Linked DNA regions of Kluyveromyces lactis. The protein of the gene in region 2 interacts with the protein of the main gene of each other region in a biochemical or structural test. Links are inferred from orthologs where the notes say so. Each region holds a gene or a part of one and is shown on either strand. Other genes may lie near its edges.

Region 1 (3,413 bases), about 1.1 Mb from region 2:
TCGCATTGCGTAGATGGGGTGATGAACAAAAGAGAAACGGTGTCACGAAGAGAGTCCCATTGAATTCTGGGTTGTTCAAACTACTTGTCGCTCCAAATTACACTTTTGAATCTTGGGCTTGGATGTTTTTCACTTTGTTGTTCAAGTTGAACTTATTCTCAGTTCTTTTCCTTGTTGTCTCGGTGGTTCAGATGTACTTGTGGGCTCAAAAGAAAAACAAGAAATATGGTACCAAGAGAGCATTCTTGATCCCATTCTTGTTCTGAATTCACCAATTACTATCACCACATACATATTTGACTTGGGGTATTATAGCATTCTCTCTTAAGTGAATAACGCTGTTTTACTCGTTTATTTACGCACTTGTTCTCTAACTTATGCCGTCAAAGCGTTGGCAACGTTTGTAAACTAAATATAATAATGATGATGAATGCAAAGTATTAAATTACTCTATCGGTTAAAGAACTCTATATATGAATGCATGTATATAAAAAATGAGTTCTGCTCTAAGTTATTGCGGTGAATATATGCTAATTTTCGTCAAATATTTTTGTTTCGTTCTGGATTTCATTACTCAACGACCCCGGTGAAGTGATCTTCTCTTCTTTGATCTCTATCAAGTAAATCTTCGTTCAGTTCTTTGAACCATAAATGTTCAAGAAGATCACTGGCGCTGGGTCTTTTGTATGAATTGAGTTCGAAACATTTTGCCAAGAGATCAAAACACCAAAAATGATCGTCCCAAACTGCTTGTTTGTAGCTCCGTATTTTATCATCAATATCCTCTTCATCGTCTGGGCCTAAACTTGGCGTGAGTTGTTTGTCAAATTGTGTCAAATAATCCAACGTCTCGAACGCTATGGAATACTCTGGTAATGTTCCTTCCTCCACTTCTTTGTCAAGTAAAGCTCTCACAAAACCTTGTAGCCCCCCAGGATATCCTTCCGAATGGAAACCTGGAACCTTTGTCATGTCTAGTCCCAACCCATGGAACTTGGCGACTTCTTGCATGGGCTTGATTCCAAAAATGCAACATATCTCCAGAAAGGCGTCAATATCATCCATGCTTTGAAAGATTGGGAACCTTCTGCTGATGAAACTTAACAGTATCACACCAACTGACCAAATGTCAATTTTTTGAGTTTGGAAAGAACATTTCATAAGCACTTCTGGCGCTCTGAACCCTCTCGTACCAGCTCTATTAGCTCTACGCTGCCTCCTAGTTTCATGTTTTGGGTACCCCTTACTCAATTCTGCCTTCATGAGATTCTCACTTTGTGCAGCACTTAATTCATTTGCCCCTCTAACGTTAAGCTGCCCGTTCTGAATGGATATCAACGGCAGATGTGATGTCTTTTTGTTGTTAGCATACGGTGAAGAACAATTACAAACCTTCTCTCCCTGGTCATTAACATACACACGATAGTTGAGGTCAGGCAAGTACAACTCTTCATTCTCTTCAGCCAAACCAAAGTCTACTAACACACCTCTCCCAAGTATTGGGTTGTATAGGAAATTGGTTGGCTTCACGTCTCTGTGAATGATTCCAAATGAGTGCACGTATTTCAAGGCGCTTAAAAGTTCAAACATGTACTTCTTTATCCCCTTGATAGGCATGTCTCGGTAGAAATGCCGGAATTCTTCATGCGGATACCAGGGCAAGACGACAACCACCTGATCCTGGTATCGAATCGCGTCGCATAATGGTGCTACGTTATTCGAATTTGACAGTAACTCTAAGAGTTTAAGTTCATTTTCAATTCTGTTCGGCGAGCTTGTCACGTATATCCTCTTGATAGCCACATGTTTACTATTCTTATCCCAGAAATGATCAGGGTATAACCTTCCAGATACGTTGCTAAGATCTTGAGCTTTATATACCGATGAAAAGGTCCCCTCTCCGATCTTATCCAGTAGCTTGTATCTGGATGACAACTGTGGTACCTTATCGTACAAATCATCCATTTCCTGGATGATTTCAGCGGGAATGTCATCCATAATTATAGTGTGTATATTGCCACCTAATATGAAGCCTAACAGACGAGCTGTATACCCATTGGTTTGACTCTACAAGAACAGATACGCTATATCCGTTGATTCTTTTATTCTATGCATTTTTTGGCGATGTTTTCATTTTTATTGTCGAAACCAAATATAATAACAAACAGCAGTAGTTCACATTGAAATGACATATATTAATGAACAGAAACAGGACGTTAAAAGGGGAATTGTCGAATAAAAGGACATTTACACACAAAGCAACCTTCATGTATAACTTATTAAATATGAAGTTTACATGGTTATGGGTATTTTCGCTTGTGATTGTCTGTCAAAGCTCACCAATAACGGTACAATTACAGAAGAATGGGAAAGAATGTGTTTACATTGATGTTGATGACAGTGACTGCAAAATATCTTATTACTTCGCAGTACAAGAGGGAGAAAACAATGCCTTCAGAGTAAGCTATGAATTATGGTCTCCGGACGATACAGAGTATCCTATGATTTACAAAGATGACGAAGAGCAAGGGCAATGGACATTTCCTGCGAAACATACTGGTGAATATGCGTTATGTGTCATTGGTGATGAATATCCTAAGATTGTTGATTTAGACATTGTACAGATATGTTTCGATCAGATACCGAAGCCAGCAGATCCTCGTTTGATAGGAGAGACGATAGATAGTTCACTGGTGAGGACACTGCAAGATTCTGTAAATATAATAGAGGATCAGCTTCAAGTCTTGGAAAGAAATTTGAAGCTGTACAAATCACGTGCAGAAAGAAACCACCACACTGTTAAATCAATAGCATCGAGGTTGGTCACCATATCAATTTGCTCCATAGTTCTTGTACCGACGATTGCTGTTCTAGAAATTATAATAATGAAGTATATTCTAGGTAAATTTAAATCATAAGTGATATATATATAATATGTATATCATGCATCAAATAAAGGTAATTCAAAATTGAAGAAAAAAAAATGATTAGAAGATGGGGTACTTCATGTTCTTCTGCGTTCAAGAATTGTCTGGCCGGGAGGGTTTTTATTATGTCCCATGCCGTCAAGTTCAAAAGCCAATTTTCCTCTAACATAGGTGTTTCTCACTAAACCTTTCAGTTTGAACCCATCATAGGCTGTCAGTTTGTTTTTGAAATAAACTTTATCGTTGTCGACAGTCTGATAGGTATTGATGTCGAAGATAACAAAATCTGCGTCGTATCCAGTTCTTAGGAAACCCTTCCTGTGATCAAGACCAACTTGCTTACTGGTGTTCTCGCAACACCATTGAATGATTTCAGCGATGGAAGCACCGTTAGTGTATAGTAATGGTAGTCCCAACCCGACGGATGCAATTCCTCCCCATGCACTAAAAAAATCACCTTTTGCGAGGTCTTTTAGCTCCGGTATA
Region 2 (4,592 bases):
TTCATTTGCTTATATGAAGTACCCAGATCTGTAGTATTATAACTGTCGTAATCCTTACTCCAGTTGGCATTCTTCGCGTATAGCCAAAGGACACTTTCCAACTCGTCTTGCGAATCACCACCGTGGTTTCCTGTGTGGTCCATACCGTGATCACCCATAACAACGTATAACGTGTTATCATCTGCAGTGCTTATAATTTTCCGCAATAGCTCATCAACTTGAAGCTGTTTTTCCTTCATGGTAAAATGATTAGGACCGTACTTATGTCCGACATGATCAACTCCTAACATATGTCCGATCAAGATATCGTATTCAGACCGTTTCTCTTCATTGAAATAATACTCCTCTAAGTAAGAAATAACCCCATTATCGACTGTGTCTAAATCCCAAACGTTCAAGGATTCATATGGTACACTTTCTGGAGCCAAATACGGATTAAATAGGGCATCCCAAGTGTCATCACCGGCAAAGAATATTTTCTTGTTATGCAGATAAAGCTGTTTTATTAAGTTATCCTCATCGATCACATCACCATTGAAATTCGATCCTGCATCTATAAATGTAGGCAAGGAACCTGTTGTCAATCCCTTTAATCTTTGTAGCGTAGTTGTGGGAGGATCAGCCAAAAACTTCAACAAGACAGAATCCGTTGAGTTATGGGCCGTCTCATAAAGAACTTTCAAATTGTTATGATAATTAGGGTTGTACTTGGCATGATTTTCATCTACTGGAATAACGAAATCAAACCTCAATGCGTCCACTATTAGTAAAACCATCTTATCGTATTTAGCTTCGAAGGGAAGCTGGGGATCAAGTTCTGCAACGTTATCCAACACCGTCCTTGTTAAAAGGAACCCTTTTGCGAAAAATGCTATGGAAATAAACTGCAATACAGCCAAAGAAGCAAGTAATAGTATGTACAGAGTGTGCGTAGACTTGAACCTTGATATCCGATAGCTCATTCGACTGGACCTCGTTTGAGGCCCCATTATGCTGAGTCTAATTCTCTCTGCCCGATCTCGTTCATCACTAACAGTGGGATTCATCACTTCTTACCAGTTTCCAAACGGGACAAAAACACAACTAAACGAAAGTACAATAAATTCACGTTGAATAATGATATTGTGCAGAAGAATTGAGTCACACTGGCGAAAGTGGTTCGCTTATCTCTCGCCTCTGACAGAGTTCTTGTTACCACTTTATTTCATTTTAAAGGTTAATTTCTTTTAAAACAGAACAATTGTACATCACGTGATCATTGTTCCCTCTTCAAATAATGCAACTCCAATTCTGATCGGCGAAGATACTGACCATTGAGCTGAGTGGATCCATGGTATTATCAACGGTGGCAAGGGCTCATTAGAACCTTGTTTATTTCAATTTGTTCTGTTTTCTTCTTTAGGAAATGTAACTATGTAACCAAAAATGTGTAAAATCTTAACGAGTTTCACTTAGTTCACTCAAAGCATCTCAAACAAGATAACATTATCAATTGAAAGGTGATATATCAGGGAACCTAGGATTATTTAGCTGCTTAGTAGGTTTGATAAAATTGCTGAATTAGCATTTGGATAATAGTGGCAGTATATATCCATAGAACACAGGAAGACAAACGGTTAACAATATTATGTCCTCACCTCCAGCTCAACAACCAAGTTCACCAAATTTGTTTTATGATCCTAGCTCTTCTCCAGCTCCTCATGGTACACAGGATTCCCAGGCATCTCAAGACCGAGGCGTAGGCTCTTCTCCGTTTCACTATCCTTCGTCTTCGTCAAATGCCACGCAAGAGACGGCTCGCGCCGCTCCTAGTAGCAGTGGTTTAAGATCTAACAATTTGAGATCTGATCTATTGAACTATTCATCCTCTCTATCCTCAAGTGCAAGAGAGGGAAGACACTCTAGATCTAGAAGAGGCGAAATTAATGCATCTGACTTATCATCTCCCAGAAGAATTGTCACTTTCAATAACCTTTCCTCATCGGATAATGGATTTTCATCATCATCGAGACCTGCATCTGAAGCTGCTGATCAACCTTTGAAGATCATCTGGGGTACCAATGTTTCGATCCAAGAGTGTGGTAACAGTTTCAGAGAATTTTTGATGTCTTTCAAGTTGAAATATAGAAAGGAGCTAGATGATCAGGAGATTTTCATCAACGAAACAACAGACCAAGAGCTGTATTATGTGAATCAATTGAATCAAATGAGACAACTCGGTACTTCAAACTTGAACCTTGATATCAGAAATTTACTGGCTTATAAACATACTGAAAAGTTGTTTCATCAGATTCTCTATTACCCTCAAGAAATTATAGCTATTATGGATCAAACTGTTAAAGATTGTATGGTATCCTTAGCACTTGATAATGGGTTAGAGAGTTACTTGAATGAAATTGAATCGAAGTTGTTCAAAGTGAGACCATATAATGTGGAAACCAAAAAGGGTATGAGAGAGCTTAATCCTAATGATATTGATAAATTGGTGAGTATCAAAGGTTTAGTTCTAAGATCCACACCTATTATCCCAGATATGAGTGTTGCATTTTTCAAATGTAACGTATGCAATCATACTGTAGAAGTTGAGATCGATCGTGGTATTATTCAAGAACCAGTGAGATGTCCCAGAGTGGTCTGTAATAGCCCAAACTCCATGGTTTTAGTTCACAATAGGTGCACTTTCCAAGACAGACAAGTGATAAAGTTACAAGAAACGCCTGATCTAGTCCCTGATGGACAAACTCCACACTCTGTTTCCCTATGTGTATATGATGAGCTGGTTGATTCGTGTCGTGCTGGTGATAGAATTGAGGTTTCAGGTATCTTTAGATCTATTCCAATCAGGTCGAATCCAAAGCAAAGAGCCCTCAAATCTCTATACAAGACATACATCGATGTGGTTCATATCCAAAAGGTGGCTAAAGATAGAGTCGGTGTGGACACTTCTACTGTTGAACAACAACTCTTGCAGAACCAGATTGATAATGTGGAAGAGATTAGAACTTTGAGTAGCGAAGACATTAGGAGGATCAAAGAAACTGCTCGCCGATCGGATGTCTATGATGTTTTGTCACGTTCCATCGCACCAAGTATTTACGAGTTAGATGACGTCAAGAAGGGAATCTTATTACAACTCTTTGGTGGTGCTAATAAAACTTTCAAGAAAGGTGGAAGATATAGAGGTGACATTAATATTCTACTATGTGGTGATCCTTCGACCTCTAAATCTCAAATTTTACAATATGTTCATAAGATTGCTCCTCGTGGTGTTTACACTTCGGGTAAGGGTTCCTCTGCTGTTGGTTTAACTGCTTATGTTACAAGAGATGTGGATACTAAGCAACTGGTGTTGGAAAGTGGTGCTTTAGTTCTCTCTGACGGTGGTGTGTGTTGTATTGATGAATTTGATAAGATGAACGATAATACTAGATCAGTATTACATGAAGTTATGGAACAACAAACAATCTCTATTGCAAAAGCAGGTATTATTACAACTTTAAATGCTAGAACTTCAATTCTGGCTAGTGCCAATCCTATCAACTCTAGGTACAATCCTAATCTTCCTGTGACTGAAAATATTGATTTGCCGCCTCCATTATTATCAAGATTTGATCTCGTTTATCTAGTGCTTGACAAGGTCAACGAAGCGTCTGATCGTGAACTCGCTAAGCATTTAACCAGTTTATACCTGGAAGACAGACCGGATTCTGTATCTCAAGGTGATATTCTACCAGTTGAATTCTTGACAGCCTACATCAACTATGCAAAACAAAACATTCACCCGGTAATAACTGAGTCAGCCAAGACTGAACTTGTGAGGGCATATGTCGGTATGAGAAAGATGGGTGATGACAGTAGATCAGATGAAAAAAGAATTACCGCAACAACAAGACAGTTAGAAAGTATGATTAGACTTTCAGAAGCTCATGCTAAGATGAGGTTAAGTGAAAGAGTTGAACTTGAAGATGTGGAAGAAGCAGTGAGACTGATAAAGTCTGCCATCAAAGATTACGCTACGGATCCTAAAACTGGTAAAATTGATATGAACCTTGTACAAACTGGTAAATCGGTTGTGCAAAGAAAATTGCTTGAAGACTTGGCGAGAGAAATTTTAAAGATATTGACAGAAAGGACAACAGACACAATAAGTTTCAACGAACTAAGCAAGCTTATAAACGAACAATCGCAAGATAAAGTGGAGAGTATCGAATTATCAAACGCTTTGACAAGATTGCAACAAGAAGACAAGGTAGTAATCTTAGGAGAAGGTCTAAGAAGATCAATTCGTTTGAATGGCCGTGTATGAATAGATATTATCAAGTCTAGTTTTTCTGAGAAAGCCTCTACATAGTTTGCAAAGGGCTAAATGAGAATAACGACCTTCCGCATGTTCTGCTTATATACATACGTTCTGTGTATATATCATCGTGAAAGTGTTTGACATTATAATAGCATATTTAGTTAGAGTAGCCTAAAGAAAGGTCCCCCGAGATCCATCTGTTGATCATTTCCATAGTAGCTAGTGGTTGATAATATGGAACCGTATGACCTGCTTCGAATACTCTGAGGAAAGTAAAGGGTCCGTGGTTTTT

Evidence for each region.
Region 1: of the proteins of MCM4 (region 2) and CDC7, one has a biochemical effect on the other in vitro, tested with the Saccharomyces cerevisiae proteins (9 studies listed by BioGRID, with this or other methods). The link is inferred for Kluyveromyces lactis from reciprocal best matches to the Saccharomyces cerevisiae genes MCM4 and CDC7.

What each region holds. Positions count from the first base shown.
Region 1 is NC_006039.1:396,484-399,896, reverse strand, and holds CDC7 (serine/threonine protein kinase CDC7), read right to left. Parts: upstream 1,999-3,413; coding exon 571-1,998; downstream 1-570. Other genes in the region: trans-2-enoyl-CoA reductase (NADPH) TSC13, read left to right, coding at 1-266; ERP3 (Erp3p), read left to right, coding at 2,199-2,918; DAL1 (allantoinase), read right to left, coding at 3,005-3,413. UniProt on the Saccharomyces cerevisiae protein: Serine/threonine-protein kinase. Needed for the initiation of DNA synthesis during mitosis as well as for synaptonemal complex formation and commitment to recombination during meiosis. Required for HTA1-HTB1 locus transcription repression.
Region 2 is NC_006039.1:1,537,421-1,542,012, reverse strand, and holds MCM4 (MCM DNA helicase complex subunit MCM4), read left to right. Parts: upstream 1-1,627; coding exon 1,628-4,306; downstream 4,307-4,592. Other genes in the region: mannose-ethanolamine phosphotransferase GPI13, read right to left, coding at 1-1,046; KLLA0_C17490g (S10 family peptidase), read right to left, coding at 4,458-4,592. UniProt on the Saccharomyces cerevisiae protein: Acts as a component of the MCM2-7 complex (MCM complex) which is the putative replicative helicase essential for 'once per cell cycle' DNA replication initiation and elongation in eukaryotic cells.